Linked DNA regions of Xenopus tropicalis. Each later gene encodes a partner of the first gene's protein in a complex. Links are inferred from orthologs where the notes say so. Each region holds a gene or a part of one and is shown in the gene's direction. Other genes may lie near its edges.

Region 1 (10,869 bases):
ACGTAATTTGGAACTTTCTGGATAATGGTTTTCCGGATTAGGGGTCTTATACCTGTATACATTTGCAGTTCACATGTCATTGTGGGGGTCACAATGACATGTGAACTGCAAATGTATACAAAAATATAAGAGAGATGTCAATACAACTTTTGTTAGCTAAGGGCACAATTAAAGAAATCTTACAGACACATTTGTGGGATGTGCAGGAAATATAAGGGGCAAGGGAAGTGACACATGTAGAGGTATCAAGGCCCTATTGTAGTTACTGTAGGCCTTTGAGTTCACACATATCCAAAATCAATAAGAAGTGGGGGGTCCTGTTTTAAATATATGATATTCTGGACTCAAACTCTTTGTAACATTTGTACTTTTCTGAGCAGAATACCTTTCTGTGTCCTTGTGCATTGCTGATAATGTTATAATAATGAATAGGTAGAATAATAATGATACAATGGTCAGTATTGTCATCACTGTGGCTCACTTCCCATTTACAGAATTTTAGCCTTTGGAATAGTGATTATCATTTTAAAACCCATATAGGCATTTTGAGAAATTTTGAGGCACTGACTAAATTGCTTCTCATTCTCTTTATTTTAAAGTTATTTACTTATTTATTATGTTTTTTTAAACAACTGAAAAATTTGTGCCAGGGCCAATAGGTCCATAGTTACTGACAATATAGTTTGCAGCAATTTGACATGAAACACTGATTAGTGGGTCTAAAATACAGGCTTCAACCAGGGGAAATAATATTTAGATCTTTCACAAGAGAAAGAAATCAACATTGTAGTGTAATGGGGCCATTTCACAATGCCACATGTAGGGACCAATAGATTTTAATTTTTCCTGGAATTTACGTACGTGTAGACGCCATCCCCTGGGATACATAAAGTTGGAATTCTATTTTACCAAGGCATTTGCTAAATGTAAATCTTTCTGGGGTTATGATGAATCCCATACTAAATCTTGAAATTGCTGTCACCCTCAATTTTAATGAAATCGGGGTGCTCCCTGGGTGAAGACATAAATTTTTGGGATGGATAAAAAGGCTGCCAGCCCCAACAGCCTGTACATCGAAAAACTCCAGACAGCACAATTTTTGCTGCTATGCCAGTTCCACGTCGAGCCAGAAGGGGACAAGCAGGACTCTTTGCAGTTCTTGAGCCCTTTTACCTTAACCTAAATGGCCAGCTTACTTGATAATCAATTACTTGGCCATGTGGGGATCTGGCAAATAAACATCTTTCTGCTGTCCTAGCATGAGTGTGTGACTGACAGATCTAAGAACAGTAGGGTTGCCACCTGGCTGGTATTACCGACCCATGCCACCTGGAATGAAAGATAACATAACAGAAAGGCTGGCATTTGTACCAAAAAATGGCAACCATGATAAGGATGAGGCCTCAAATCAACTTTTGCCATTGGGATTATGGGACTCTAGCTACAAGACAAGATTGATAACAAGCCAGTCTCATAATGAAACAAAAAATAAGGGGAAACCCAGCTTGTCACCTTAATAAACCCTTTTCTTCTCCAGCATAAATTGTGCCATAACAACATATCAATTGTGGAAGCAGACTGCTCGAATCATATGGGTCCACCAGTGGGACCCCAGTTTCAATAATGTGGATGAAATATGGTTCATCCCTAAAAAATTTTTGGGAGGCCTTAAAATGGTTTTACTGTGATGCAGGTAATATCTAATTACAGAAAGGTTGCCAGTTTTTGTATTTGGGGTGCAGCATGATACCAGTGTAATTAATAGGTAATATAGAGGCCGGTATTTTTATTATTTTATTTTTATTTTACCGGTACCTCTTTGCTAGAGCTTTTATGGAGTGTAAAATATTTATATTATGGGTAAATGGAGAAATTAGGTGTAGCCCACTTTAGTGACAGTGCTGCTACCTGCTGAGATCTTATGGCGCTAACAGGGATCCTGAGCCCCACTTACTTTGGGGGAACAGATGTTACTTTACTTAATGGCGTGCCTCCACCCAGGTTAGGGACAGATTGAACTGTAACTCCCCTCCTGAGAACTTAATGCTGTACTGTATTCCCTGGTCAGGGACTCCCTGCAACTCCCGGTACCTTTCCCCTTCCCTTTGGGGTAGCTGCTTACCAGGCAGTGAGGATCGTCTTTGTACGAAGAGACCAGGACACTGGTATGATGTTGAACCAGTAGAATGTAGTTTATTACTTGCAGACAAGTAGATTATACAGGAGCACACTTATATGTCAGGTTACACACACTTCCCTTTGGAGACCCTCTCTCCCTGGGGTTACTCGCGGTACTCCCGCCAGATGATCCTTCTTTGGGGTTCCCTCTGGTACTCACGCCAGAAGGCCCTCTCTAGGGCTCTCCCTGGTACTCCCGCCAAGCGGACACCCCTCTGAGACCTCACGCCCAAGCACCCACTGGATTAGGTAATCTCCTTACCTGACTCCAGCTATGAGTGCTATCCCACTCCTGTAGGGGTGATGACTACCCGTACTAAATAACCTGTCTCCCACTCCTAGGGGCACATTTACTAACCCACGAACGGGCCGAATGCGTCCGATTGCGATTTTTTCGGAAAATTATCGCGACTTTTCCGTTACCAATACGATTGTTGCGAAAAAACACGAGTTTTTCGTAGCCATTCCGAAAGATGCGATTTTTTCGTAGCGTTAAAACTTGCGCAAAAAGTTGCGATTTTTTCGTAGTGTTAAAACTTGCGCGAAACGTCGCGCCTTTTAAGTTTTACCGCTACGAAAAAAGCGCAACTTTTCGCGCAAGCTTTAACGCTACGAAAAAATCGCAACTTTCGGAATGGCTACGAAAAACTCACGTTTTTTCGCGCAAATCGTATTGGTAACGAAAAAGTCGCGATAATTTCCGAAAAGTCGTAAAGGCGCCGAAAAAAATCGCAAAAAATACGAAAAAGTCGCAAAATGTTCGTTTTCCAATCGGAATTCTTCCAATTCGGTCGGAATTCGTGTCTTAGTAAATCAGCCCCCTAGAGTGAGCTATTATCTCCAGATCTACTATCTAAACACTAGCCTGTCATTAACCTCTGTCCAGAGGGGGTCCCAGGCAGAAAGACCTAGCAGCACATGGCTGCATTCCCTTATATACCTAATGCGCTACCCAGTGGCTGCTAACTAAAACTGCAGGGCTACTCCCTGTTAACTCTTAACCTCCCAAACCACCCTTGGGAGCCTGTACTAGGGGAATCATCCTAGAGGCCCAATTTTGGAGATCCCTACGTAGGTATGAAATATTTTCTGAATTCCATTGTTTTTTCCATTTGACTAACTATTAAGATTACTATTTTGTATTATCTGTTTTTATATTTGTTGGCAGGATTATGTGCTTTTTTCTGCCACCTTGTGTTAATGTAGACATTTATCTTTAAGAAAATCCCCGTTTCTGTCCTGTCTATTAAGGCAATATCTGCTCGGGGATTGGCCAGCGTCACATTTTTCCCGCCTCTCTTTATATTCACTCAGGGTTTCCTGCTCAAGGTTACAGGGTCCCTCATGCTTCAACAACCACACTAGCATTGTGTCTGAGAAATCTTCCGACCAATAAGCGCTCGGCTAACTTGTAGGAGCAGAAGGGCTGTCTTTACTGCTGTATTCTGCTTTGCGTTTGGCTGCTGGCTGTAACCATAGGCGGGTTTCCCTCTAGCTTATTGGTTTTATGTGTTGTCGATCTGAGTGATTTTCCGCCTATTAGCCCAATAGGATTCCGAAGTGCTTGCGCTGGGCGCCTTGATTGGGTAGTTAGGAACAGCAAGTTTGGCTGCGACGTTAGTATATGTAGCCGGCAGCTGAGCACGCCGCTGCTTGTGCCGACGCTGTGTGAGGTGTAAATTTATCTAGGCTTCTACGGAGCGCCAAGCCTGCACCAAGCCGGACCTTTCACAGGTACGAAGACCTTAAACATCCTTAGGTTACTCTATCAGAGCGTTGCGTATATTTTTGATACACGGTGCCTTTGTCGCTGCATTACCTCATGTCTTTCCTTGACGTAACGCGCGCTTTGCCTCGGGTGGACGCGGCCTTTATTGGGTTGGTATAGAGACGCGGTGTGCTCCTCAAGGAAGCGACGGAGAAGATGAATTCGAACCCGTGTGCTTTTGTTTTATGGCAGAAAGGACCGTTTTACTGTCGGCAGAGAGGGGCACTCGGCATCACAGGGGCACTTTAGGGACTATGTAGATTAAAGTATGCAGTACCTATTCCATAACATGTTAGTGTCAGTAAGTAAGGGATTTACTACCAGCTTCCACCACTTTCAGGCTGTGTTGTAGTCTTATCTTTTAATCCAACTTCTATGCAGTTATGTTCCCTCAATGGGAGCTCCAGACTTACTGCATTGCAAGGGCCCTCACTTTATCTTTAACTTCGGTTCCGATGGCAAGGTCAGCCATTCTGAAAACTGTCAGACTCCGTTTGAAGCCTAGGGGGCTTCCAGAGGGCCATACATTAAGTATGTTCTTTTGTTAGGCTTCTTTGAGGAAGGACCCCAGGGATTGTTATTGGTCACCATCTTGACTACTGATAAATATATATATTTATTTTTTTCTCTGTGCCAGAATTTCAGAGGTGGGAAAGTGTACCCTTAGAAGAATTTGTTAATGTTTTTGTTCCAACTTAGTCAACATACAGACTTAAGCCATTCATGCCCAGATTTGGTTGTCCAACATGGCTGATTTTGACCAGATTCTGACCATTTGAATGAGTATGTATGCCATGTTTTGGGGGTCTCCTTATTGGGTATGATTGAACATTAAGCTCCTCTTCACTTCTGGTGTTTCTGATCTTTTGTGCAGTCAGCCTAAAGCAATGGAACCGTGCAGTGGCAATACATGTGTACATATGCCCACAGGTTGTAGAATAATATTGTATGGCTAAAAGTTAAGTATCTATTGTGCCAGCACATTTACGCATAGATATACAGAGATTATACACAATTCCCATTAGCTTCTGCCCTACTGCTGCTTACAATATAAGTACTATATCAGTTTACACAGTGGGGGCAGTTATATCAGGACCCAGTTAACCTGCCTGTATGACATGGCAATATCATTGGCAAAAATCCTTGGCGATATTGCCTTACTTAGAACCAGGCACGGTAGAAGTGCTACCCAAAGATCTGATTTGTTACAGGAGAATTTAACCTCTTTATACTGTTTCAGTTCCCCACAGAGGCTCATTTGCCCAACTTTGCCAACCTGTACACCTCAAGGAGGACCCCATTACAGGGGAGTGGCTCTATTGTGATTCATATGTGGGAGGTTTTTTTTTTTTCTGCAGTAGTGATATGTGGGCTTCCCTGAAAACCACAGATTCGTGCCAACAATTTGTGAGTATTGAGCCAAATTTGCCGCCAACCCAACTGCTCCAAGCCCCACTAGTTCTTCAACTTCCCCTTACCCCTCTAATAAAAGTGTAAAATCTAAAAATAGTTGGGGCACTATGTGTTAGGGTTGGGTGCAGGTTGTAAATAATTTTGCAAAAATACTTTGCAGTGCACCAAAAGATTTAGGACAACAGCTTAGGACAATAACTTGTCAAGATGTGCTTCAACAATATTCTTTCTATACTTCAGTATGTTTGTGTGGGTCAATTAATAGACCTTTTCTTTATTATTATTATTATTATTATTTTTTTTTTTTTTTTTTAAATGTTCCCTTTCAGCATGGTTACTCCAAAGGTTTGAATGCCTGCCTATAATGAAATTGTTCAGCACTGTAAAGTCTACACTACCAAGGTCACAAATAAGCTGAAGAAATAAACAAGCAGTCTTTTAGCCCAGTCTCTCTCGTGAGGGCTACTGCAATATCATGGTGCGGGATGGACATTCGCCTAGGTTAAGTGAGGGGAAGGCTCTTTAAAGCAGCCCATTGCTAAGGGAGATATATTCTTGTGGCTCTAAAGACACATTTAAAGGTTTTGGAATTTTAGTATCAAGACCTGTTGCAATTTAGACATCCCTGTTCCAGATCTAAATTGACATCTGATTTGACAGCTCCTTAGATCCCAGAAGGGTTAATAGTCTTATGACTATGTCTTTCAAGAGCTGTATGCGATCAATTTGCTGCCACTCATGAACCTGCCTAACTGCCAGTGGGTCTCACGTTTCTGCTGTAATTTGTGCAGGAAATACTCAATACCATTTAATTGTGCTGTACCAGATTATTATAATGAAACTTTATTGGTGGAATATTGGTGAAGCACATCTTGACATGTTATTGTCCTAAGCTGTTCTGCAGCAGCCGTCATGAAGGTCTGCACTGTGCAATTACTAATCATAACACGAGTAAACCCAGACAATATAAACACCTTATTACATTACATTACATTAACATTTATTTATAAAGCGCCAACATATTCCGCAGCGCTGTACAATAAGTGGGTTACATACATTGGACATACAGAGTAACATATAAAGCAATCAATAACCGATACAAGAGGTGAAGAGGGCCCTGCCCAAAAGAGCTTACAATCTACAAGGAGAAAGGGTTGAGACACAAGGTGTGGTAATGGGCATGACCAGAGTTGTGAGAGGTGGGGCACAGGGTATTGCTAAACTAGATTAGGGTAAGCCTCTCTAAATAAATGTGTTTTTAGAGATTTCTTGAAGGCAGAGAGATTGGGAGAAAGTCTGACAGTTTGTGGGAGCGAATTCCAGAGAAGGGGGGCAGCCCTTGCAAAGTCTTGAATGCGAGCGTGTGAGGAGGGAATGAGAGAGGAGTTGAGGAGCAGGTCAGTAGAGGAGCGTAACAAGCGGGTTGGATGGTACCTAGAGATGAGTTCAGAGATGTAGGGTGGGGCAGAGTTATGGACTGCTTTAAATGTGAGGGTCAATAGCTTGAATTTTATCCTGGATGGTAGGGGAAGCCAGTGCAGGGATTGGCAGAGCGGCATGGCAGAGGAGGAGCGGTTGGAGAGGTGTATGAGCCGGGCAGCAGTATCTCAAGCACTGCAGCTATAACAATACTGAAGGAAATGCTTGCTGTGCAGCCCTGTGGCTAAGTGGTTAATAGAGATTATCCATATTTTATTTACATACATCTCTATAGGTGTGCCTTCACTTAAACTATCATTTTTAGAAGGGCTTTTCTCAAGAAACTTCATGTTAAAATTACAGCCACAGTGTTATATTGTCCTGGGGCTGTTCGGTGGCAATTGGTTATGCTGACTTCATCACACATACTCGACTGTCAATCATGATTTCTCTTGGATATTTTACTAATCATATTACAGAAATTTTCCTGCATTTTTCCTAATATGCCCCTTCTTAGAGAAACTATAACATGTAGTTTAATTTAGCTTTCCAGCCTTCTCCTTGAATTTGCATTTGTATAGGCTTTCGCCGAATTCCTAGCAGTCTTAAGAAATGTGAGCAGGAGATATTACCAGTTGCCATTAATAGTCATGCTTGTCTTGGCTAAGCTTTCAATGTGTAATGTAGCTTATCTTATTTTATTTTGCTTTAGTGTTTTCCACCTTTTTTGACCTGACTTCCTTGGCGTTATTTTAGAGGAATTTTGTTGTCTTTGTATGCTGTTGCTAGAAACAATTCAACCATTATTGCATGGTTACATAGTAATTAATCTGAGCCATGTGACAAGCAGGCTTAGAGATGCTGAAGTCACAAACTGTAATAAGCTCATTAGGCTTCTTGTATTCATTTAAGTTAGAAGCTGTGTTGCAACTTCTAATGTTAGCCCTCCCTATTTAAAAACACTAATGGAATGTGTTGCTTAAGCCTGTGCAGTCTTGTTAAGCTGTATCGTCCCTTAAAAGAAAACTTTTGTCATGCAACTTTTAAGTTACCTATTGCCATAACATTTTTATAGCTAATAGAACATTAGCCCATATAATTTTTAGCTGTTTCAGTTATCAATGATTTAAAACAGTTTTGTTGTAAAAAAAAAAAAAATAGAATTTAACAGGTGTGGACTCGTCTTTTAACCTTTTATGTGTCTGCAAACGTTTTACCGTTGTGCTGGCAGCGTGCTTGCACATGAGATTTGTCTTCTAAGGTAAATCTACACTAAAACAGATGACGGACCGTCTAAAAATGCCCCTTGCTTAAAGGAACAGTAACGCCAAAAAATGAAAGTGATTTGGAAGGCTTGTGTAGTGCTTTCAGTCATGCCAATCCATTGGTATGTTGTGCACTTTGGCAATGCGTTAAACTTTGCTGATCTGATGGCCCAAGGCTTCTTGATGAAATCACTGAATGTATTTTGGTTTGGCCAGAGACCTTATAGTTGTGCCAGTAATGGTAATCGCTTTCTTCATATTATTTGCTTTGATTATATTTTTGCATTTTGTAAACCATTTTTCCCCCCAGACCTGGCCTAAATTATATTTTTAATATTTTTGTTTAGATTTCAGTTGACCAAAGAAATGGTGATGGAGAAGCCAAGTCCCCTGCTTGTCGGGCGGGAATTTGTGAGGCAGTATTATACTCTGCTTAACCAGGCACCAGACTTTCTCCACAGGTATGTTTTACACAGTAGAGCTTTACCTTTATTTTTTTTTTATTCTTATTTATTTACCGTATATACTCGAGTATAAGCCAATCCGAATATAAGCCGAGGTACCTAATTTTACCTAAGAACTGGAAAAACGTATTGACTCGAGTATAAGCCTAGGGTGGGAAATGCAGTCGCTACTGCTAAGTTTCAATAATCAAATAATTAATAAAAGGACACTCGGCGTGACCCTCTGTGAACTCTTCATAAATATATCATGTTGGCAGCTGCAGATTAGAAAAGGTGATTAGGGAAAGGTGGATGGAGGACCCTTTGACCCTCCTGCCTTTAAGTTTATGCCACAATAACAGCCTTCTTGTAATCATGCCATTGATTTCTGATTAACCTCCTTTTATCGCAAAATAATCAGTATCAAGAAGACTACATACTTGTGCTTGAAAGTATGTAGTCTTTTTGATACTGATTTAGCACGCACTTCTCTCTTTGCTATGGAAATCTACTTTAGAATTGTTACAAGCAGAGTCTGAGAGGCTGTTTTTTGGGGTGTAAGGCAAGGGCCCCATGGCTAGAAAATCATCTTAAAAAGTACAATTGAAATAATTTTAGATAGTGTTCAATTACCCGATTACCTGCTTCAGTTTATGCCAGCATGCGTGCCATCCATGTGTGTGCACCCATCCACGCTGCATACTAAGTATCACTGTGCTGTCCCCCCACCCCACCCCGTGCGCAACAGCACAGTGTCCGAGTATATCGACTCGAGTATAAGCCGAGGGGGAGTTTTTCAGCACATTTTTCATGCTGTATGTAAACCGGTTCAGACAGATGGTGTGTTTTGTTCCTGCATCTACATCTCACCATCAATGTGTTTTAATGAGAAACAAGTCTGTCAGACACAATTATATTTTCTTGTCGGATTAAGATGCCGCATGCACTTTTTCCTCAGACAGGGTGTGGCTTGTTGGATGGCAAATTTTTCATATAGTTTACACATCAGATTTTTCTATTAGTTTTTTAACCCTTTCACTGCCAGCCGTTTTGGTCAAAGAGGAACTTGTATTGCCAGACAGTTTAACATTTTGCACTGTTTCACTTTAGGGGCCTTTCCTCGGGGGAACTTTTAGTCTTAATGTCTAAAAATTTAAAAAAATCATATTTTTCATAATATAAACACATACCAGAAACAAAAATTTTATGCACAAAAATACAACTGATTTGGAAAGTCCCATGTCTCCTGAACGTGCCAATACCAAATATATATAGTTTTATGGGATCCAGGAAGCTGGGAGCAAGAAGCAGACACGATGATCGCAGGGCCAACATGACAGCCCCCTGGCTCATTGCCCAGGGGGCTGTCATCACTAAAAACTCTGCAGAGAGTGTCTTTATCTGCCAAACGACGTTATCAGTTTAAGTTTCTTTAATAGGCCACATATGATCTGTTGGTTATGGTTAAATATTCGTTCTGGGAGTATAGTTTTCCTTTAAAGGAATTCCCTTTTTTTTTTTTGTTAGGTTTTATGGAAAAAGTTCTTCCTATGTTCATGGTGGCTTGGACACCAATGGAAAACCTGCAGAGGCTGTTTATGGGCAGACTGTAAGTATATCTTGAAGTCATAACCATTTCAAAGTCAGATCACAAGAAATTGTGCTAATCATTTCTCCTTTTCTGCAGGACATCCACAAAAAAGTAATGTCTTTGAATTTCAAAGATTGCCGCACAAAGATCCGCCATGTTGATGCGCACGCCACTCTGAATGATGGCGTAGTGGTGCAAGTCATGGGAGAATTGTCGAACAACAGGCAGCCTATGCGTCGATTCATGCAGACATTTGTATTGGCACCAGAGGTGAGGTGCATTTATTTTTGTACTTGTATTATTATTATTTGTATTACATGTTATGTGCCAATGTTGGTAGATTGCAGCATCATTCTCTTCTCTCTATGAAGAATTTTGTCAGAGGTTAATGCTCCTTAAATTGTCATTTTTGCCAGTTTTCTTGAATGTGATTAAGATGAATATTTTCTTATTCAGGGCTCTGTGGCAAACAAGTTTTATGTCCACAATGACATATTTCGCTATCAAGATGAGGTTTTTGGGGATTCAGACACAGAGCCTCCAGAAGGTAAATGTGTAAAAACAAGCCCTTTTGGTTTTCTTGGTAACTCATAATAAGGTTGGAGAACAATTCAGAACTGCTGAAATGCAAGAATTGCATAGGGGTAACTTGAAGAGGCAAGTGTGTTGATGTGCATTTAGTTGTACCTTCAGTCTGGCATTCTAGGAGATTCACTTAGGTTTACCCCAGCAACCTGAAAGCAAAAATGTAAGAGTAGATTCTCCTTAACCCTAATAGAATCTTTGTAGACT
Region 2 (11,076 bases), on another chromosome or scaffold:
GCCACAAGGTTATATGCTGAGAAATTAAGCATGCAAACAGAATTGCACGTGTTTTATTGCATGAGAAGCATACAGGGTCGGACTGGGCCTAGAATACTAGAGTTATTGCTCTAAAGCAAATAGTTATGATGGGAGGCTCATAATAGCCAAACTGCAATAGTATTGGTGATACAGACATGTAGTGCCCCCTACCTGTTGCATGAGGAACTGCAGTGAGAACATCTGTGCCTGTCGCATTTTTACCTGCCTTAGAGCATGATAACATTATAAGGGTCATTTATAAATGCACTGTTGTGTGGGAACAGCAACATTTAGACTCAAAGCTGCATTTTTTTCCTGCAATGCAAAGCCAAAGGGAGTTGTGCCCACACTTGTAAAGCACCTTTCTTATAGGTTTGAATTGGGTGCAAATTGTAGCTTGCAGAGCAGGGATCCCAGTATTCTCCACCTACTAATATTAGAGGATGCTGGGAATTGTCTCTTAGCATTAATTATGTCACAGAAATCACTGACCAATTTACTAGTAAGTGTAAAGAGACCTTAAATGCACTCATTAAAGGATCAGATATATGGCAAGGAAGTTGAGTGCTTAATTTCAAAGACATTTTAGCTAATTAGGAAAAAGGTAATGAGATGTCTCCAGTAAAGCACCCCTATTTCTGTAACCCCTATAATCAGATAAACCTCTGAAGCACTGCAGTGTATATTAATGACACTAGCCATGGATTTCTGATTGGCTAAAAGATACTAAGGAGTCGGTCCCATTGGTGGGGCCCTATACACTGGCCAATAAGCTACTGACAGAATCCATGAAGGCTGCTTTTATTGGCCCATGTATTTCCACCTTTAGTCAGCCACACAGCAGAATTTCAACAGTAAACACTGTACCCAAATAAATAGGAGATGGCGCAAGCAGTATTTAAACTTGTACCCCCCCCAATCATGGTATGAGCATTAAGTCAACCTTTCCCCAGATATCTAGTATGCAGGAGACATGCCTCACAGCTGTAACTCCCAAAGTAGCTTTTGGCAGAGAGCCCAGAAAGTTAACCCCAAAACCCCCAGAAATGTATTCAAACTTTAACTAATCTGACAAATTTAGTAAAATGGGAGTGGTCTTTAGGGGGTGTGGTTGCAAAATAGGTGTGGTCAAAAGCAGGTGTGGCCATTTCTTTTTGTCCCTCTTTCCATTTTTCAAATGTTGGGAGTTATGAGTAGTTGGCACTGTAATCCTGATGCCACATGGGGGCCGAAGTAGTCCCCAACGCTGACATTAGCTTTCTTTTTTGCCTGCATTTGGAACCATTGTGTTGGCCACACGGGATGCATTTCTGCTCCGGATCGCGTTTGAGCTACAATATCTGCCACGTATGGCAGCAACCAGACCCACACAGTGGTGCCCGGTGCAGGCAAAGGAGAAAGCTAATGTCAGCATTGGGGCTGACTATCCTTAGGCTAAAGTCACATGGAGGCTGATTTCAGCCTGTGCAATCTCTGCCTGGGCGTAGGCGGGCACAGACACGGCAGATATCAGCCAAAAAACTTGAGACTTCACATTTCCAGCAGATACCCGCCATATCTGCCTGCACAGGCCGGAGACAATGCTTCCCTGTGCGGGCAAGGTAGCAGGCTGGCGCCAGCGTAGGGACTGATTCTCGGCCAGCGTTTTTCACAGGCTGGGAATGGGGCACTAGCCTAAGTATTTTCTAACTCCCAGCCAGTATCTGCACAGTAATTAGTACTGTATGTATCAGCTATTCCATCCTCCTATCCATCATTTAGAGATAAGATAGTAGTGCAAGCATTATCTTCACACCAGACATCAGGCAGTCAGGCCAGTCAGCATTAATGCAGTACGGCTGCATTAGGCATCCCTATGGAGCCAATCAGACAACTATAGTGAGCGATAACCTCATAATAATACTGGATGTTTTTTATAATCCTTGATTTATGTAGGGTATCTCTATAGTAGAGAAAAAAGGTAGGTAACAGGTAGTTTCCAGGCAAAACGAACAGTCAAGAGGCAAATAACCAGCTTTGTGCTCAAATGGAAGAAAATTAGAGACTGAAGCAAAGAGAAATTGTGTACAGAACATTATGCTCATGAGTCACATCACTCGCTGACTCCCACATTTTCCCAGGGGTCTATTTGTTGGAACAAGTGTTTCATACAGTGCCACTGGTTATGTGCGCTCACTGACTTGTATACAACGCCTATTATAACATGACATCAGGCCCTGACCGGAAATCTGTGGGTTCCAGCAAATGCCAGAGGGGCTGCTGTAAGATGCCATAGTCAGTCACTATTTTTTGGGCCTATTTTGACTCCCAAGACAGGTCTGCCTGACATCACCCCTATGCCCCATTACATACATATGGATACATATAGTACACTGGAGAGTGATTCAATCCCTTATTAGAATCAGAGCAATGTCTGTCTGGGAGTTGCTGTGCTATTCAATACCGAGTCCAGTTGCCGGCCTATAACCTAAGGTCAGTGCTGTATATCAATGTAGGCCAACTTAGCTCTAGACGCAATGCATACCAAGCAGTGCTGGCCCAGTTGGGAATTTCCTGATCCACACCTGGCCCAGCCCAGTCTGAGAAGGAGAAGGGGCTTCAGAACTCATGCCGTACATGCCCCCTCAAGTCTGAAACGTGCAGAGTCCATGGGCAGGGCTTTAGCAAACAAAGAGCAGGAAGAGGCCTTGTCAGTAGTTCTGTCTGTGCAATAATGCATCAAGGGTCCCATGGGTGTCAGGCTACCACTTCTATCAAGGTCCAGACATTATTTCGTATCCCAAAGTGTTTTTATGTACTTTTATGAAGTAATAAATAATTTGTTATTTTCAACTATTTATAGCATTTCTAATAAAGGGACAGTATACCCCCTGGTCCAGAATTTCTTCAATGAATAGGGCAAGGGACCTGAGAGGATCTGTAGGGAGCCCCAATAAAGGGGCCATTTTACAGATAATATTTATTTTTAGCCCAAAGTGAAACCAGCACCGTATATTATTCGGTTTTCCCATTTATCCTATATGTCCCCTTTAAACTTACCAGCAAATACATAGTTGTTTTGTTCTCAATACTCTGCCTCAGCTGTTGTTTTACTGACCAGGCCCCTAACATATTTCTACAAACCTAGATAAAGCCAATGTAACACTAGTTTAAAGGGGACCTGTTTCCTTCAGTCTTGGAATTACACAGTCACAGCCAGCAGGCAGGTGCCATTTTGTGGGCACTGTTATTAAGGCAAGCTTTGTATCACCCCAAAATGTTGTGTATGTGCCAGAATGGGGGACCTGATGCCCATGCACTTGCTACGCAGTTAGATGGTGAGAAGGGAGGGAGAAAGTGAGTGCTGAATGGAAAGTGAAAGTAAGTGTCTGCCTAAGGCATAGAGGCGGGGCAGGCAATATATGATTGACAGCTGGAATTTTTAAATGCCTTAATAATGGGGTTGGATGTGTTAATATAAAAATAAATTTGGGTTTCATGTTTAATTTGATAAGGACTTTTATTATACAGCTTTTTATCCTGCCCCAGGGTTGCCACCTTTTCTGGAAAAAATACTAGCCTATATTCTTATCTTTCTTTCCCTTTAATTACATTGGCATCAAACAAGGTGTAGGTAGGGTCGCCACCTTTGCCGGTGGTTAAACCTGAGCAGGGGGCGGGACTGATGTTACCAGGGGTCTGACAGTGATTCTGGGGGTGGGCATGATCACATCAGTGATGTCTGGCCCAACACTGCCTGTCTGGATTTCCAAATTAGCAAACTAAAGGGGGCCATACACGTTTAGATTTTAGTCATCTATTGACAAACATTCCGATATCGAATTAACATTCAGACTGAAATTGCAGGATTAAAGTCCTAAAAATAACAAATCTGACAATGTTTTTGCCATTAATAATTGCCAGACAACAATTATAAAAAAGTTATGGCCCCCGAAATACATTGTAGGTTGTAGGAGATCGTCAGATAGGCAACACATGCAACAGATATTATAGTTGCCCCACCGAAATGTTCCAACCTGTCCAATTGACTAAAAGACCAATTGCCATGGTAAGAAAATTGTCGGGATGAGAATTTGGAAATCACACATGGTCCGAAAATTGTATGAAACTTTGTGTTGTACAATTTATATTAGTGTGTGTGTGGGCAGCTTAATTTGTAAACCTGCACTGAATGATGCAGCAGTCATTTGTCAATTCCCTTCACTTCAGACACCCCCTGCCTGGACTAATACGAATGTAAGATGCCATAGACTACATTTTTTATTTGGTCTGTGGGGGCTATTTTGTCCATTTATTTATAAAATATTGTACATTAAATGCCAGGGCCGATTTTAGAATCTGTCAGGACTTGGCAGGGTCAGACTGGGCTGCTGGGACACCAGAAGAAATCCCTGTGGGCCCCAGTGGCCCCGTGGAGGACCCTATGGGAAGTTGGGGGGGTTTAGGGGATGCGGCCGGCGGGGGCACCTGTAGGGCCCCTGGGGTGGGAGCCCCGGTGGGCCCTGCACCCTCCAGTCCAACCCTGGGACTTGGTCTCAACTCGTAGCCCTTCAGCCAGTACTGAGCATGTAAAGCAGTGATCCCCAACCAGTGGCTCGTGAGCAACATGTTGCCCCCCAACCCCTTGGATGTTGCTCTCCATGGCCTCAAAGCAGGGGCTTATTTTTGAATTTTTGGTAAGGAGGCATGTTTTGGTGCCATAAAAACCAAGTATAATGCCAAACAGATCCTTCTATAGGCTGTCAGTCCACATAGGGGCTATTAAGTAGCCAATTATAGCTCTTATTGGCACCCCAGGAACCTTTTTCATGCTTGCGTTGCTCCCCAACACTTTTTCCATTTGAATGTGGCTCAGGGGTATAAAAGGTTGGGGATCCCTGATGTAAAGGAAAGTATTTTGCAGCTCTCTATGGGTGGGGAAAGGTGAGGATGGGAAAATTTAATGAAGAAAAGTGTTCCATGTGTGGCAAAGTATGAAGTAGTTTAGTGAAAACCGTGGCTACACATCAAGGAACAATGGGATTTTGAAAGTAACAGTACGGCCTGACAATGAACTTGAACTCCTCAGTTTATTACTACTAACATCATTAAATCCTGTGCCTACATAACATAAACATTTGAAACTTTCTTTTTGTAATGCCAGGCCTATGAGCAACACTCCTGTGTAACAAGAGAACATGCCATGCTGAGTGCATCGCACTCCCATGTGCTATTCTGGGCAGGCATTTGCCGGACAGCCCACAATTAACTCTTGGGGCGCGGTGAGGCCCTTCAGCACGCTTGCCGGATCTCTCCATTGTCCGTTTGGGTAGGCCTTGCGGTGCCTGAAGAACCCGCACACATTTGGACAGGTTTGCCTATTTAGATGAAAGTGTAAGCACTACCCCGTTTCTGAGAGAAAGAAAAGCAGTTCGTGTGAGGTTTGGTTGCGCTACGGAGAAAGTAAGGAGTCGGCTGGAATCAGGCACTTGGGAGGGCAGCCCGGTACGAGGGCCCTGCGAGTGTAAAATCCCTCCGCTTCCTGTGTCTCGGCCTCATTAGCTCGGTGCGGCGGGTAGTGGCGGAGTGGCAGCGACTCCTCTTTAAGATCACACAGCGACCAGCGCTCAAGCCCTGTACCGGCAGACACTGAAAGGTGTGGGAGTGGGACGGAGGCGGGGCTACGGGAAGCTCCCGTTACCGGAAGGGTGGCGGGAAACACTTACCGGGAGTACAAAGGAAGGGCGGCTTTCCTTCACGGGAGGGAGAGGGCGGAGACCAAAGCGTCACCGGCGGTTGTGGGAGGGGACATTTAGCGGGTTTAGTCGCCAACTACCGGCGCGATAGTTAAAGCGACAGAACGCCCAGCGGCAACTTATGGCGATATGAATCGTGTGTGGTACGTAAAGAGGCGCCGTCCGGATCGGGGACAGGTTGGAACGATTGAGCTTTATAGCGTTCTGCCACCGGGAGCGCTGTTCCATACGTCTCTATGTACATTGTAGTTAGTTTCAGCCTAGGGCAGAAGTATGGCAGATCCAGCAGCCAGCCTAGAACTGTAGGCCTATGTCCAATCGAATAAAGCTAGTTTGTTTGCCCTTAAACTAATGCTTCAGACAAAGGAGCCATCTTTCCTGGTTAGGAGTTTTAGGGGGGTTCTGGGGTGGGGGTTATGGATGTGCTTTGGATTAAATAGGGATATCTGCCCCCAAAACATATTAAAGTGGGAACACAAGGCTTCGGATCCGCTGCTCTGTACCGTAGGGTCCGGCTTTGCCAGGTGACTATGGCTCATTGGTGGGCTGTATTTATATATACATATTCAAGGGCCCCTGTCTAAGGTGGTAGGTTTAGGGGGGTGGCCATCAGGTACCTATATTACCTATACCTATACGGTGCCAGTCAGGGCGAGGGTGCAGTTGAACATTGCCTGGGACAGGACCCTAACCAAATAAATCTCGACTGGCAGAGAAGTGCCTGCACGTTGGTTACATGGGATGTGTCTGTCGCTAGTCGTGCCAGGCGATACAGCCAGAAAGCGTGAATGCATTTTGTGGCTGGATCTGCTGGTAGTGCTAGTGACAGGTGGATTCTATTTAAAAAAAAAAAGTGCTGGCAGAGAAACACCCTCTGTGCCATAGGTGCAAGTGTTGCCATAGGTCTAACTACCCCACTGTTGTGTTGGAAAGTAATGCCCGGGCTAGTGTGATGCCAGCTGTACCGTTCAGGTCCCATTGTGAGCTCCTGTGTTTCATTCATTAGGATCTTCAGTGTTTGGGTGTTTGTTGTTCAAGTCCGAGCGTTAGTTTAATGTAGGATCTTTAGCTCCCAGTAGTTTTGATGTATAACATTGATCTTTGTCCTCTCTCAGATGCCCTCAGCCACCAGCAGCAAAGCGGTGCCGGGCTCCAGTGATGCAGCTCCCGGCACGTGCAACATGCAGAGCGAAGCCATGAAGCAGATCTTGGGGATCATCGATAAGAAGCTGCGAAATCTGGAAAAGAAAAAGGTTTGTGCTCCTAATGCTTTAGCCAGTGCCGCTGAAGGCTGGGGCCCGGGATAACTTGAGAGGCACCAAGGAAGCCAGCTGTGCCTGATCTGACACTGGAAGCTTGTGGGACTGCTGGCACATTAATCATCCGGCAGGCCGAGTAATCTAATCCCTTGCCCTGTTTATGCCGTTTACCTCCTTGCTTTCTACTGCTGTTGCACACTATATAAATTAGCCCTACTAAACACAACTATTTGTGTCAATAGTTTCCCTCTCCTCCTTACACTCTGAACTAACTCAATTATTCTTTTTAATTTATGTAGTGCCAACTTATTTCGTAGCACTTTATAGCCATTGTTCATCTTTGTCCCTGCCCTAGCAGATGGATATTCTGATCTAAGGTCCCTATGGTCATGGTTATCAGGAGCCAATTAGCCTGTCTGTATGTGTTTGTGTGATGGGAAAGCGGAGTACCCTGAGCAAACCCACCCAGACACTAGCAGAAATTACACACTCCTTATAGATATTACCCTGGCTGTGATCAAACCTAGAACCCAAGCACTGTTAGTGCTAAGCAACATGGGGCTGATTTTTGGCCTGTGAATAAATGTGGGCCCAAGAATTCCCCCCTATGCTCCAAACAACTTTCAGATGTGCTTGCACCCGGAGCCACTGTGGGCCTTTGTGCAGGCAGACTGAGCGGATTTTGGCTCCGCAATGCACAAGTATGCCTGCACCTGAGCCTAAGCAGTGGAACGTGGAAATGCTGTTTGAAGTGTAGGGGTAAATTCTCTTCATTTATCTGCAGGCAGAGAGTCAGCCCCGTAAGGCTGCAGCCTAACTGCTGTGCCACACTAAAGATGGCCATACACAGGAAGAGTCACTCGTTTGGCGAGGTTGCCAAGCAAGCAGATCTTTTCCCAATATGCCCGCCTAAAGGTGGGCATAATTGGGCTAACTATCGTTTGGACCTAGGCCAAACAATCTAATTATAATGATGGGCAAAGGCACCGTCTGATCGGGGGCCGCATCAACGTGCTGATGCGGCTCCCAATCCAATGGAAAAATCACATCTGCCCAATTCTGGCCCATGAGTGGTGCCTATACACGGGCTGATAAGCTGCCAAATCATTCTAAAGGACCCAAATTGGCAGCTAAAATCTGCCCATATATGGCCATCTTAAAGAGTCAAATGCTGGCTGATTGGGTACACGCTGGCTAGCCCACAAGCAGATCAAACAGTGTACAGGGGACCATGCTCAGTATGGCAGCTTTTCTTTTGATCCAATCATTTGTGCAAAGAGCGAAAATGATTAAAACCGCAGGAAGAGTAAAGGAGTGGCGGCTACTGTTAACGCTCCCCTTTGCTGTCGCACCATGCACAGGCTGACATTATTATTATTAACATTTATTTATAAAGTGCCAACATATCCCGCATCGCTGTACAATAAGTGGGTTACATACATTGGACATACAGAGTAGCATATAAAGCAACCAATAACCGATACAGGAGGTGAAGAGAGCCCTGCCCAAAATAGCTTACAATCTACAAGACATGGTGTATCGGCAGATGACTTTGAAACCTGCCTGAGCCCCAAACCCCCAGCTAGCCATAGAGAGAATATTTTAACAAACGTAGCTGGCCATACATGTACCAATTATATCCTACAAATGTACCTTGTATTTTTGATGGCTTGCCGATCCCATGCATGTTGGCTGGCATAGGTGAGCCCCCCCCCCCCATAGCCATTGGTGCATTGATTCCTTACAATAACATTGGTACCCATGTAGCCAGCTTTAGGCACTAGGGTTGTCCATGGCACAATATTTCAGGCTTGCACAGTGTGACTTCAGTATGTGCTGGACATGCACCCAGACTTAGTGGTAGATGGCTACAATCACAGTATCGGGTAGGGCTGTTTCTTTCCTCGTGACTAAAGATAAATAATCTTTTGCTTTCTGTTCAATGCGCTGAGCCCTTGCCGGATTGCCTGGGAGTCCTGCTTTCCGCACCTACACAACCAGTTGTATGATTTACTCGGGTTACAAAGTTTCACTGTTAATGAAAACATGAGGAATTTCACCAGGCACTCGGAATATCTGGTTTCACAAAGAACAACAATTGCTGTCGGTTACAGTGGCTCTTAATAAACCCCTAATCATGGCCCTCACACTGAACAGATTTTAGGAGCAAGTTATACATTGGCTGTATGAATGTAAACACAGAGCCCTGACGGTCGGCAAGACTGAGTGACCTTGTGTTTTACTCGTGTTTTAGCCCAAGTGCCCCCATTACTGGGAGTGGCAAATTATTAGGCCCCCCTCAGTGAATATAATTGCTAGCCTTGGGCCCCCCACATTGGCGCTTCTCTTCCACTTAATACGTTACCCATGAGCACCCAGGGGTCCCTTGTGACAGTCCAGGGATATTGCTGCATCAGCTGACTTAGTTTGGCGTTAATGAGCTCTGTATGTACAACCCCCTCCTGCATCTTGCTGATCGCCTTGCGGCCAGCATTAAAAGTATTAATCCCGGGGGGGGGGGGGGCGTGGCCAGCACCGGAAGGAAATGGTCGCATAGTCCGGAGCTCCGCACATTTCAAAAGTATTAATCCCAGCAAGTTGGTAAGATCCGTTGCATGTGGCTGTATTCGAATACTCGTCGCCCAGGATGGCAGTTCTTCTTTACTAAGAGCCCAACATCCCTCGAGGCACTTGGGTTTTATTGGTGGAACTGGGAGGTGCAGCTGGAGAGTGATGTTTACACTGCACCATGTGGGTGGTGTCATTACCTGCTCTGCCCAGAGGCCGCATTTGTAGTTCCTGGTTCTAAGGGGAACGACTGCATCCCAACCAACGCTTTCACTTTCATTTACCCTAGTTCTGCACTCGCTCCAAGGTCAGGGTTTCTCTGCTGCATCATCTTCCCATCTTTCCCATCCTTACTGCAGGGCATGAGCAAAGTTCAGAAATGCCTGTGCTGGCAAGTGTTGCTCACTGGTTTCCCAATACAGAGCCTCGTACCATGACGTTGCCTCTATAGACTCCTCACTACTGAGCCCTCGCAAGGTGCTTCATATCATGTACAAGGTTTATTTTATTGAGAGATATAAACTCTGGCTTGGAAGTGTTACCTGGGAGTTTCCATTCACAAGCTACAGTGCCCTCTGCCATAGCCATACATTCAATTATAATTCTTTTAGAATTACACCATGGCATACAGACAAATAAGCACATTGGACGGGCGGCAGAGGCATTATTATCTGCTGAGCACACACTCCCATTAGTACTGCTAATTGTATTGATCTTTTTTTAATGGCATTATTTGTCATACTGTGTAGTGCAAGGAAGACTGGATCCATTGTGGGGCCGCTAGTTACAGGGGCCATACACTGGCCTATTCGGCAGCTTATCTTCCCATGTATGGGCACTAACAGCCTTCCTGACCGACATCTGGCCTGAAAGCAGCCAAATCTTCATTGGGCAGGTTTGACTTTTCCATCGGATCGTTGGCGCCTATACCCGCTTCTTAATTCGATCATTTGGCCCCAGGGCCAAACGACCAAATTAGCCTGATGTCGCCCACCCGTAGGGAATATTGGGAGAAGATCTACTCGCAACCTCACCAAGCAACCATGTATGGTCACCTTTAGTCTACATCAGGCCGCCCATCTGCTATATAGCAATCCAAATTGATTGAGTACTAACACTATGGGCCTATGAGCTTTGCATCCTCCATCACAGCCAGATTATGGACCAAGTGGCTTGGTTTTTCTGGGGGCTTGACTGCCAGTGCTACACACGTGGTGCTGTACACAATCTGCATCGCTGCTGGTTTTGCTGACCTCGCAAAAAGACGTTTATAGGCCCTTTGCAACATCCTTCCTACTATCATTTTTATGTCGCCCACGTACCTGTTTCTATTTCTAAATCCATTCTTATTCTCTCTGTAGGGCAAGCTGGACGACTACCAGGATCGGCTAAACAAGGGAGAACGCTTAAATCAGGACCAAATGGTAAAGATGCATTTTAAAATGTTTACACTAATGCCAGCTAAGTGCGCTGGCTCCATGGCTTTGTACACA
Region 3 (11,032 bases), on another chromosome or scaffold:
CACATCCAACCAAGAAACTCTTTCTCCTCAAGGTTATTTGCATGTGAGCGCTCAAACCACCTGGTGGTGATGCTTTGAATTGTTACTTTGAAAGAATACTTTTAACACCAGCCATGTTTGTAGCAGTGTAACCTTGCAAGAGAGCGGTCCATGCTGCTGAATGCATTTGTACTCTGTGTGCTTGATCAGGGAGAAAATCCAGCTCACTGAATAGAAGCTCTGATGTGCGAACTCTAGGGAATCGTCATATTGACTCTCTTGGAAAGAACAATTCGGCCAGACCCCTTGCAGACGGAGCTTAGCAAAGGCTTCATTTTGTTACTCTCTGGCAAGATGTTTGAAATCACCAGGACCCTTAATGCTGCTTTATTAAATAATGAGGTAACATTTTGGCACTTTGTTATCCGACTCTTAAAATTTTCCATGCTGAAGTATTAACTGCAATAATGAAGAATGATTACATTGTTGTTGGTTTTTTTTTATTGAACGAAGATGAATTAGCCTCATTTAAATGGTAATTTTATGATTTTACAACAAGAAAAAAAAAACAAGATTTTTTTTCATGAAGTTCAAACCTCTCTGCAGCCAAAGGATTCATCAGCGCAGTCCGTTGTTGGTCCTTGTGACAGCACAGAGGTTAATGAGTGCGTCAGTCACCTGTTTTTGTTCTGTGATAGTACCAAGTGGGGCTTTAAAATCGCCCAGAGTAGGTGTTTATTAATGCTGAATTGGCTTGTGGTGTAGCCCATCTGGACGGTAAGAGATACTGCTGATTGCTTGTGATATTAAGATGTCTGTAACCTTTGGGAACAATGCGTGCTGGAGTCAGGCTAAGAGATACGCCGTGAACCCATCTCTTTTACCGGCATCTGCTACTAATGACTTACAAGGCTGCTCATATAGGGTAAGGAAATTCAGTTGTCCTTTGATTTGATTCTGGTTGATAAGCTTTGGAGAAGTTTACTTTCCTTTATGTGTCTTTGTATTCTTGTACTGTGATTTTTATTTTTACCCCCTCTGGATGAAGCTTGGAAGTCTGCATACTTTTCACTTCAGCGCTTGTGATGTAGAGGGACACGTCACTTTTCTGGAAATGCAGTTACAAGTGCGTTCTGTCAATCTGATGAAAAATTCTTCCTTTGTGATTTGTTTCTACTTATGTCTGTGCTCTGAAAGAGGTGTAGAAGGCAGTGGGACTGCTCTATAATTTGGGATGGCTCATGGCAGAGTCATTGGAGCGATGGTAACTATTGCTGGTATTAACTATATCACTCTGCGTGCTTGCACTGCTTGGGAAAGTTACAAACTGAAAGGGAGACTGAGCTGGTTGGCTGTATGAAATACAAAATTTTCCTTTGCATGCAGAATATATTCTCTATTAACAATTCTGCACTCAAAATAAGCATCATCCTTAACTATATTATATAGACTTTTGAATAGACATGAAACACATTTCTCCATTATTGTCCTACTACACATACAGTTACCTTTGTATACAACCCTTTGAAGGTCACATTAATACATTGTCAGGGTACTTTTTCTTAAAGGTTAGTAGCACTACACATGCATTTCTTGTGCATATATAATAGATATGAACTATAGACTGTTTTTATAAAAGCAAGAATTGTTATCTGTGAATATAACTTTATAAGGAAACATGTCCATACCGGTATAACATAATCAATTTGCGTATGTCTCCTTGTTCTGCCCTGTATTGCTAGTAAGATATACATGCATTCAGCTATTGCAGAAATGATTATTTTTGTGACCTTGAAACAGGATAAATCAGGATATTTGCTGAGAAAGAAGATGAGTATAACAACTGTTTCTCTTATCTGCCAAATAAATTCAGTGTGTACAGTCAGTGTATTTATACAGAATCTCTGTTTTGCCTTTTGTTGTGTCCAATTATCTTGCACTCGGTGTGTAAATAGATGTATACATAAGGAGGACAGATACAAAACAGAGGGGAGTTGACAGTACCATTTTGTTATTATACAAGTGCAAAATAGCTATTATAAAAACAGCTTCATAGTATACATTGTATTGGCCACCTGAGTAGTTTATGGATAACTTTTAGGCTGGGAAGATAGCGCCACCACTGTATGTGCAGATATAATACAGACACTTAACCCCGTGCTGATCCTACTGCTTAATGCATCTGTGCCACTTGGGTACTAGTGAAAAATGGAGATGCTGCAAGAGAAAGAAACTGTATATTGTTATACTCATTCCACCATGAAATTGAGATTTAGCAGTGCCTTCCCCTAACATGTTTATAGTAGAAGTGAATTGACTACCCTGTAAATTAAACCTGTGAGCTCCTAACAGACACTGTTCTCCTCTGTGGGATTGGTTTCTAAATTCCTCTGCTTCATGGGACACTTGGTGATTGCTGGAGGGTAGGCATTGATTTTTAATATTCTGCTCAGCCATGGAGACAAAAGAAACATATGGATATACCAAACAACAGAATTGAATTCAAGCTATTTTAAAAATGCTCCAATTTTGATGTATAGGATTTTAGTACAGAAAAATACTTGTTTCAATGAGTCTTAAGCAGTATTGATCAACACAGGCACTCCAGATGGTTTAAAGTCAGCCTGACAGAGCATGATGGGAATAATAGTTCCCAAAATCTAGAGTTATGCTCTCTTAACAGTTCTCCAGTTTAATCTTTGGTTGTCACTATGTATCTTACTAGCCATACTATAGAAATGGAAAATATAGAAGAATCTCTAATCACGCACAATCTTCATTGGGCTAAAGAAATGTGACCTCTTAGCATGTGGACAAAATGCTTTAGAGAGTGGTGTCCATTTTATGTTCCTGTAATAAATGGGGACTGGGGCACTTGTGTACATTGCAGAGTTTGTGTATGTCAAGGAACTTTATGACAATTGTCAAACTGCCCCAAACTTCACTTAGTTTTAAGTTTAAAATACATTTTTCATTATATTACTATAGATATAATGCACTGAGTTGCAATGCTGAAGTTGCTAAAGGATTACATTCTGATTATAAGATGCTGAGATCTCCTACCTTGAAATAGATAGGGCCCAGTACCTGGAATCTTACATACATTTCCCCTAAAATAGAAAACAACAAAAAAATCATATCCCAGAGAAAATGGCAAAGCTATTTAATCCTAAGGCACACAATGGTGTCCAGCATTTGGCCACCCACATGGACTACTATTCCCAGCATCCCCTGTCACTGAACTACAATTCCCAGCATCCCGATAACCATTAGGGTGTTACATCAGCAACCGCTGCAGGCCCAAAGGTTGAAAATCACAGCCCTGAAAAAAACTCTGAGCTAAAGGCCCAGAGTTGGAGGTGCATTTGTTAACTGCTTGGGTGCCAGGGAGCTAAATTTCTCTAAATGTAAATTCCCTGCCACATAATTTAATTATAACTCTTGGGGTTTTCCTTTGAAAATGTTTAGAAGTGCATATGCTTAAAAAGAAATGGAAAACAGGGTTGTTGATAAAAAAAAAATACATGGTTGTTGCTGGTGGATAGTATCTATATAACAGTTGCTAAAGTAATAGCCTTCCAGTTATTGTGAACTACAATTACTGTAATATTATTGTCACCAACCACAACACACACACAATTATTTAATTATTTTACTCACCCTTATATATATATATATATATATATATTTTTTTTTTTTTTTTTTAATAATAAAGTATAGTACAGTCAACAGCCATTTGGACTAAAACAGTTTACAATGATATGCTTGAGTCTAAAGGATACAGCTAGTCATTATTTATGTGATGCAAGGAACATTTCATTGTTAATCCCCCAGCCACTGGCCCCAGGGCTCTGGAAGCGTCTCATGTCAAAAGAACATCTAAAAAGCCTGCCTGCAACAGCAGACAAGGAGTTAAGATCTTCAGTCTGCTAGAAGCCAATTTCAATAGCACCTTATATAGCCCCACCTTCTCCAGGCCAGACAGCCAACCAGACGCTGGCTTCATGTGACAGATAGTCCCATAAATGCATGCAAGCATCTAGCCAATTTTCAAGCAAGGCTCAAGCCTATTTTCATATCTACACCCTACTTCTGAGAGGCATAACCACATTCTCTGCTTCTCCCTTTTCTCCCTTTGTTTTTTTTCTTTTTTTTTTTTTTAATTTTAGATTTTTGTTTTCTGGTTTTATTTATTTATTTTTGTTTGTTATTTTTGTTTGAAATATTTTAGGCGTATATATCTTTTTTTTTTTCTTGGTGCTCTCTGGATTAGGAACAAACAGAATATATATTATACATTAAACAAACAAAATTATTTCAATAAATAAAACCATCCCGAAGTGTCTGTTGAGAAATTGAAGAGAAATATCGAAGTCCGGCAAGACTCAATTTAATCCCATAAGAATGGTGATGGTACGTAATCCTCTCTTGTGTTGAAGTTCCATTCAGTTTGTGAATCTGTTGTTTCTGTGTCTGCACCTTTTGTGAATATGTTGCTTTACGTTTGGTCTTTGTTGCTTAAGCAGTGCTATTCCGCTTTTTCACTGATTTGACTCCTAGAAATCTGCTGATTAGAAGAAATATAATTTTTCAAGGTCATCTCTATGTTACTTGATAGCATCATCCTTATCAGTAAAACACCTTCAAAGACTGTTGTGTGTCTGTTCATCTGTCTATGCCTGTCCTGGGGTTATATGCAAGATTTTAGTTCTGCCATTGTGTTTTTGCACAAAAGACTCCAGGAACCCAAAAAAATGTAGAAAGACCAAGCCCCCAGAATGTCATCTCGCCTGCTAATTTCAGATGGGCTGCGCGTTCTGTATGGTAATCTTTCATCAGAATGATTTATAGGGACTCGGTGAATGCTGCATATTGTATTTCAGAGTTTCCTGCCGTGACCTCATAAAAAGAGGAGGAGGCTGGCGTGTGTTTGAGCGCGCACTGTGTGTGTGTGTGTGCGCGTGTGTGTCCTTCGTAGCATCGCTTGCCAGCAGTACTGTAAGAAGGAATGTCAGCTTTTACATAACGCTCTTTTTGCTTCTGACATTGTGACAAGCTACAAGGCTCCATCTCTATAGTCACAGATGGAGTGGAATGGCTTGAAGATGGTAAGTGACTTAGAGTGTATTGTATATTTCTATTTTTGTCTAATTTCCCACCCATGGTTATTTCTGAATGTAAGCAGTTATTTTGATTTTGGACCTTTTTTGCCAGTTAGGCTATATTCAATCGCCTTCCCTGCCGCTGCCAGCGTGTGTTTCAACCAGTCTGGGAGGGTACCTTGACAACTATAATGTCAATGCATGTCCATCACAGATTTACTTGATGCTGTGTAATCTTCATTTGAATTACATGAGTCTTTGGACGTGTCAGTTGTCGCCCCCCCCCCCCCCCCCCCCAGTCTGCCGCTGAGAGCTTTGTGCCTTTAAGCAAAAACGTCTGCCGCAGAAAGCACATATGTTAAATAAGTACATCTGTCCTTTCTTTTCTTTCCCCAAACCTAGACCATGTAACTACTTGACGTTCCTTTTGTATGGGTCTCTCACAATGAGTGTAAAGTGTCACACTTAAATCTTGCAGTCGTGACCTGCATGGCATGTCATTGAACACTGCGGGGACACAGGCGTAATGTACTCCCCTGACTGCAATTCAGACACCCCTGAAACCTGCCGTAGTGTTTTGCACCGCAAAACACTTTCTTGTTTCTAGAAATTGAGGCTCCGTTCTTCCCCACCCAGCTTTCCCATTCTTAAGGAATCATCTTTGTCTGTCTGCTTGTTTTGATGGCTGTAAAACAAACAAGATTAGACAGAGCAGTCGAACTGAAAGCTATAGCTTCAAGGGGAAGCTAGTGAAAGGTTGCCGAGGAAACAACCAGGGAGGGAGCCGAGATAGGGGAGCAGGTGGCAATCATTTGGGAATATTGCGAGCGCGTCAAAAAAAGACTGGGGCTACCTCTATTATGCCCTTCTTTGTGGCAGTCACAACTTTAATTATTCTTTACATATAGGTGCTAATTACATTGCTTCCACAGATGTACAGTGATTCGCTGAACAGTATATTTTAGCATCTGTCCGTCCGTAACCAGGGTGCCTCTCTTTATTTCCCTTTTGCCTACAAAGCAAGATCTTGTCCGTTCCTAGAGTGTAGATAATGATGCTTCTTTTCATCTCACATTTGTGCTTGCCATGTGTAAATGGGCAGAATTCTGTACTTTTATTTTTTTATCATGCAGTCACTTTACGGCCAAATTACAGATCTGCAGTCATTTTGCTATAAGAACAAAGGCAATTTCAGTGGGAACACAAGAAGAAAAGAAAATGTTTCTGTAAATGCTTTTCTGTCTTTGAGATCAGTCAGAAAGGAGTTTTAACCACCGCCAGTGATTCTGGATGGAGTGATAAAACAGTCACTTTAAAACACATAGCAGAATGTTTCTCAGATGTAGATGGACACTTTTTCCAGTCTAACCTTTCACAGTTCCCTTTGTTCTCACTGAGTTTTTACCCTGCAATCCAAAAAGAACAAAAAGAAAAAGGTTTCTTTGCATGGAGCTGTCACTTGGCTATGGTTTTTTAAACCCTCGGTCCTCACTACGAGTTTGAGGGCTGAGCAATAAATGGCAATTTATTTACATTGTAGTTGAGTTGTTATGCACTGTCATTCATGGCACATGTGAAATTCAAGGGGATATCATTCTGCACTATTAAAGAATGGTATATATAATAGATGGAATTTAGTGTAAACTTGACTTAATTTGACCTGTGTAGTCTTACAACCACATATACACTTGTGTTTAAGTACTTTCAGATCATAATGTTACTCTTATTTTTGCACCCTGTGTACCAGCTACTAAATATAACACATTATGTGGAAGTTAGAAAACTATGAGCAGCAATTACTCTCTTCTAATCTGCTCTTTGTTAAACCATGAAATATAGTCAAACATCAGTATAGGAGAACAGAAAAACCCTGTAATCGTATGATATACTACACTCTGTTGCACACAATATCTACATTTTTATTTCTATTTAGTAAGTAAATAATGTATAGCCAATAAAGCTTGTTTTGCAATATTCAAGCAGCTATGGGAATGCATGTATTGTTGTTGAATGCAGGTTCCCTTCCAGTCGAGTACAAAGATACAGTAATTTCTGACTTTGATCCTTATTGCAGTGGATCAATGAAAGCAGTGTATACTGAGATATAAATATGTGTGAGTAAATATATAAATATGTATATGTAAACATGCATTTTATAGGCAATTTAAGATAACACACGTTTATATACATATATGCCTACAAACATACATATATGTGTATGTACTGTATGTATGCGGTTTAAGGCGTTTACAGATGTGAATGGGCCCACCAAGAGCTAAATGGGGGTAACTATTATGAAGAACAGAGAACATTTTCATCAATAATGTGCAATGTATAGCAATTTCATTTAGAAAATGTGCTGTGGTGTACTTATTATCAGCATGTAGAAATTCCAGTGTTTCCTTATATGGTTTGAGTAGTTTTACTCAAGTTTTAGCCAGAGAGCCTGATAATATGGTAATTTGTTCCATATTTATCACTTCCTCCATGTCTTTTGTAATCACATTTCCCAGAACTCCCTGAGAAACTGATGATACTGTTCCCTTTTCCGGTACGCTCCATTAGACCTAATGTAAAAAGAGGTAAAATTACCCTTTTCATTTAGCTCCAGTAAACAGTTATAAGTCTGTGTATTGGTTGCCATCCTATCACACACTGACCAACTGATTCTTTTGTAAAGAGAAAAAAATGATTTTAAGTTCTCATGGTCTCATGGTTTGATCACGGTTTCCTTTATTCAAACTTTTCTTCCTGTTTGCCCATGCTTTGTTGTTTGTTGAAACAACGCTCACTTATAACCTATGCAGGAGGTCTGATCATTTTAGATTTCAGATTAAACATACAAAAATTTGTTGAAAAGAGGTAATCAAGAGATGTATAGGAGATGTACAGGAGCCCAATCAAGAGATGTATAGGAGATGTATAGGAGCCCAATCAAGAGATGTATAGGAGCCCATACAGATAACATAGGTATTGTTGTCTTAGTTTATTGTAATTGCTTGCATTGTGCTGAAAATTTTTATACAAAATACCACAGATATGGGATCTCTTATCTAAAAACCTCATATCCAGAAAGCCCCAAATTACAGAAAGGACATCTTCTATAGAGTCCATTTTCAGCAAACTATTCTTGTTTTTAAAAATGATTCCCTTTTTCTCTGCAATATTAAAACAGTACCTTGTACTTGATCCAAGTGAAAGATATAATTAATCCTTATTAGAGACTAAACAATCCTATTGGGTTTATTTCATTTTTAAATTTTTATTAGCAGGCTTCAGGTATCCAAGTTACAGAAGATCCCTTTTCCAGAAAACCCAGCTCCCAAACATTCCAGATAATAGACCCTTTACCTGTACCGAGCTCTATGGAGAAAACCATTGAAAATCACAGGGATGTATTGAAATATGCTGTACAGATGTAGTTGCATCCCACAGATAATATGTTCCCAACACCCATTAATATTTACTCTATGAAAGTTCTTTGTGACAAGCTAATATCTGAGTTGTTTCTTGTGTTACGTTGTAATAAGCCACTATGTTACAACCTTTGGTGGTTTTGTGCAATTAATGATTTTATAGATCCTTTCTATTTTCAAATTATTTCCGCAAATGCTGCAGTAAGGGTCTGCAATGACTTGGACCATTTATTTAATTCGTATGCTTTGGATGTACATTTATATTTTCAGGGATGCGATCTTCTCTTTTCTGGGAAATTAAATCCAATTCCTTTCACTTTCTTTGTTCTGAGAATCTCAGTGTCTCTCAGCAGCCTCTGATTTGCATGGATCCCCACCACCACCACCAAACACACACACGCACACACACCCTTTTGTTCAAATAAAGAGAACATCAGCATGGTCATTTTTTCACAACCTTCATACATTCTACTGGTTAGTTCACTAAGCTCTGTGGTATAGTAGGTCGTTGCCTTTAAAGCTTTTTGCCTTTAGACCCTAAAGTTCCAGGAGCCAATAATGTGTATACTGTATCTGTGTAAGGAATTATAAGAAACAGCCCACGGTGTATCTTAGATATACATGGACTTCTTAAGTTAACAGCCCCTCTAAGCAGGATATATGTATGTATTTATATTTATTTTAGCCTACAAAACAGCTAAGGATACAACACTGTAGACTGAGTACTGCAATGCAGTATTTTTTCAATGTCATTAGGATATTTAGGGGAAAGCAAAAAGCACTTTGCTGGGTAACGTTTCAAAATAATCACCAAATTCCATGTGGCTTTGCCAGATGGAGTAATAAACCCAAGAGATAACATAGCTCCTCCTTCTGCTATTCTATGTCTAAATGTTGGGAAGTGTGACTAATTAAGAAGAGATTGGTTGTATAAAAGTAGTGGGATGAACCAAACTTTTAGTGATGTGGGGTCCTCAGCATTTATTAGCAAAGTTTAATTAACAAAGCAGTTCTGAAATTCTGAAAAGAGATACATAGGTCAATTTGGAGTTCCTTTGTTTTGCTAAGAAATGTATTGTGAACGACATACACTTACTGCATTTAACTTACTGTTTGAATGTATTTCAGCTTCGTGTCATGTGTGCTCATGTAAGTGCATAGAGAGAAACAGACCAACCTATGGCACTGGAACTATGGCCACAAGTCAAGGGAAAAAGTAATTAATTTAAAAGCAAAGGAAAAAAATATTTTTCCCTGGTTCACTGTCTTTTCTAGTCATAGAATGGTGGAAATGGAGGTAGAACCCTCACCCTTGCAGATAAACACACGTGACCTTGAGGGGTGACCTGGTGGATAAAGTGTATAATGCTGAATGTTATATTAACATTTAGAAATATGCAGAAAAGACATTTTTGCAAGTTTTCAAAATTATACATACCATTGGCACTCATCTTACCAAATGACGACTGGTTTTACTTTAACCTCTTCTTCCATTTACATGACCGGTAGCATGGAGAACTAGTCTAACTGTAATATCTTATAGTTCACTGAGTGCAGTCACTATGTCTAGTGTCTGCTATGTCTAGCGTGAAAGCTGTGTTAAATATTTAATACATTTACTGCTCCCAAGTCCTCATTGAAGGAAATGGGTTAAATTAACATATAGAACACTGGTCTCGATAAATTGTGACAGGAGTCACAGCTGTCTGTATGGAACATTTGGTAGATTGTTAATATTTGAAGAACCTGTTGTATAAATGGGGGCAGGACGATGTTGAATGTTCAATTTGTCTTCTCTTTATCCATTGCATGGGGTAGCTGTCCAGTCTATTCTTCCCTTGACCTCTCACCCGGTATGTTGTCACATAAACAGTGTGCTGAAGGACGGCAAATTTAAATGCAGGAAAACAATCACTGCGTCCCATAAAAATAAGTGTTCAAAAGCAGCCATCCATAAAACAGAGTGATATTCACATAGACTGAAATGATTAAGATGCAAATATTGGTGGCTTCATGACACTTAATAACCCAACAAAAAATATGCGTCAACATAATTAAAATGGACTTTTATGATTTATTGCCTTTCAGAGGAAAATGTAATACTCTCTTTGAAGAGATAAGTAATATACTGGGATTTATTTCCAAATATTTATTTATTGTTCTTACTTTCTGCATGCTGTTTGGGGATTTCAGTGGTTTATCTGTTTATTCTATGTTTTATTGACCCATGAGCAAAATATTTTGGCTCTACTGGAATGACAAAAAGAAGTCTTAAACTGACTCTAGAGGATAATGGTTGTGTAAGATAATTTGCTAACAAAGTTATTGACCGCTTTGCCAGCATATTATATGCCTTCTATATAGCCTTGTGAAATGCATAATTCATATGAATGATCTGCTGAAGGTTCTGTATAAAGAATATACTAAATGGAAAATGGCTACTTTCTTTTTAACACTTTCTGTTTAGTTACATGTACAGACAAGGAATAGCCCTCAGCAAGAAGCTGTCCGCGAGTGATGGGAATTGTAGTTTAA

What was found.
Region 2: the proteins of g3bp1 (region 1) and caprin1 are in contact, whole or in part, in a crystal structure (PDB 8TH7), measured with the Homo sapiens proteins. The link is inferred for Xenopus tropicalis from reciprocal best matches to the Homo sapiens genes G3BP1 and CAPRIN1. Residues at the interface, in NP_005745.1 of Homo sapiens: Glu4, Lys5, Pro6, Ser7, Leu10, Val11, Glu14, Phe15, Arg17, Gln18, Thr21, Leu22, Met29, His31, Arg32, Phe33, Tyr34, Gly35, Lys36, Gln58, Lys59, His62, Leu114, Glu117, Asn122, Lys123, Phe124, Tyr125; in NP_005889.3 of Homo sapiens: Met363, Gln365, Met366, Gln367, Gly368, Pro369, Tyr370, Asn371, Phe372, Ile373, Gln374, Asp375, Ser376, Met377, Leu378.
Region 3: g3bp1 (region 1) and elavl4 share a complex: the UniProt entries of both Homo sapiens proteins name them as parts of the TAU mRNP complex. The link is inferred for Xenopus tropicalis from reciprocal best matches to the Homo sapiens genes G3BP1 and ELAVL4.

Annotation. Positions count from the first base shown.
Region 1 is NC_030679.2:16,830,460-16,841,328, reverse strand, and holds the start of g3bp1 (ras GTPase-activating protein-binding protein 1), read left to right. Parts: upstream 1-3,840; 5' UTR 3,841-3,912; intron 3,913-8,390; coding exon of another isoform or gene 8,391-8,409; coding exon 8,410-8,504; intron 8,505-10,013; coding exon 10,014-10,095; intron 10,096-10,173; coding exon 10,174-10,347; intron 10,348-10,533; coding exon 10,534-10,624; intron 10,625-10,869. UniProt on the Homo sapiens protein: Protein involved in various processes, such as stress granule formation and innate immunity. Plays an essential role in stress granule formation.
Region 2 is NC_030680.2:15,332,491-15,343,566, forward strand, and holds the start of caprin1 (caprin-1), read left to right. Parts: upstream 1-5,575; 5' UTR 5,576-5,656; intron 5,657-5,834; exon of another isoform or gene 5,835-5,885; coding exon of another isoform or gene 5,886-5,933; intron 5,934-6,871; coding exon 6,872-7,009; intron 7,010-10,944; coding exon 10,945-11,007; intron 11,008-11,076. UniProt on the Homo sapiens protein: mRNA-binding protein that acts as a regulator of mRNAs transport, translation and/or stability, and which is involved in neurogenesis, synaptic plasticity in neurons and cell proliferation and migration in multiple cell types.
Region 3 is NC_030680.2:95,688,406-95,699,437, forward strand, and holds the start of elavl4 (ELAV-like protein 4), read left to right. Parts: upstream 1-5,024; 5' UTR 5,025-5,063; coding exon 5,064-5,087; intron 5,088-11,032. UniProt on the Homo sapiens protein: RNA-binding protein that is involved in the post-transcriptional regulation of mRNAs. Plays a role in the regulation of mRNA stability, alternative splicing and translation.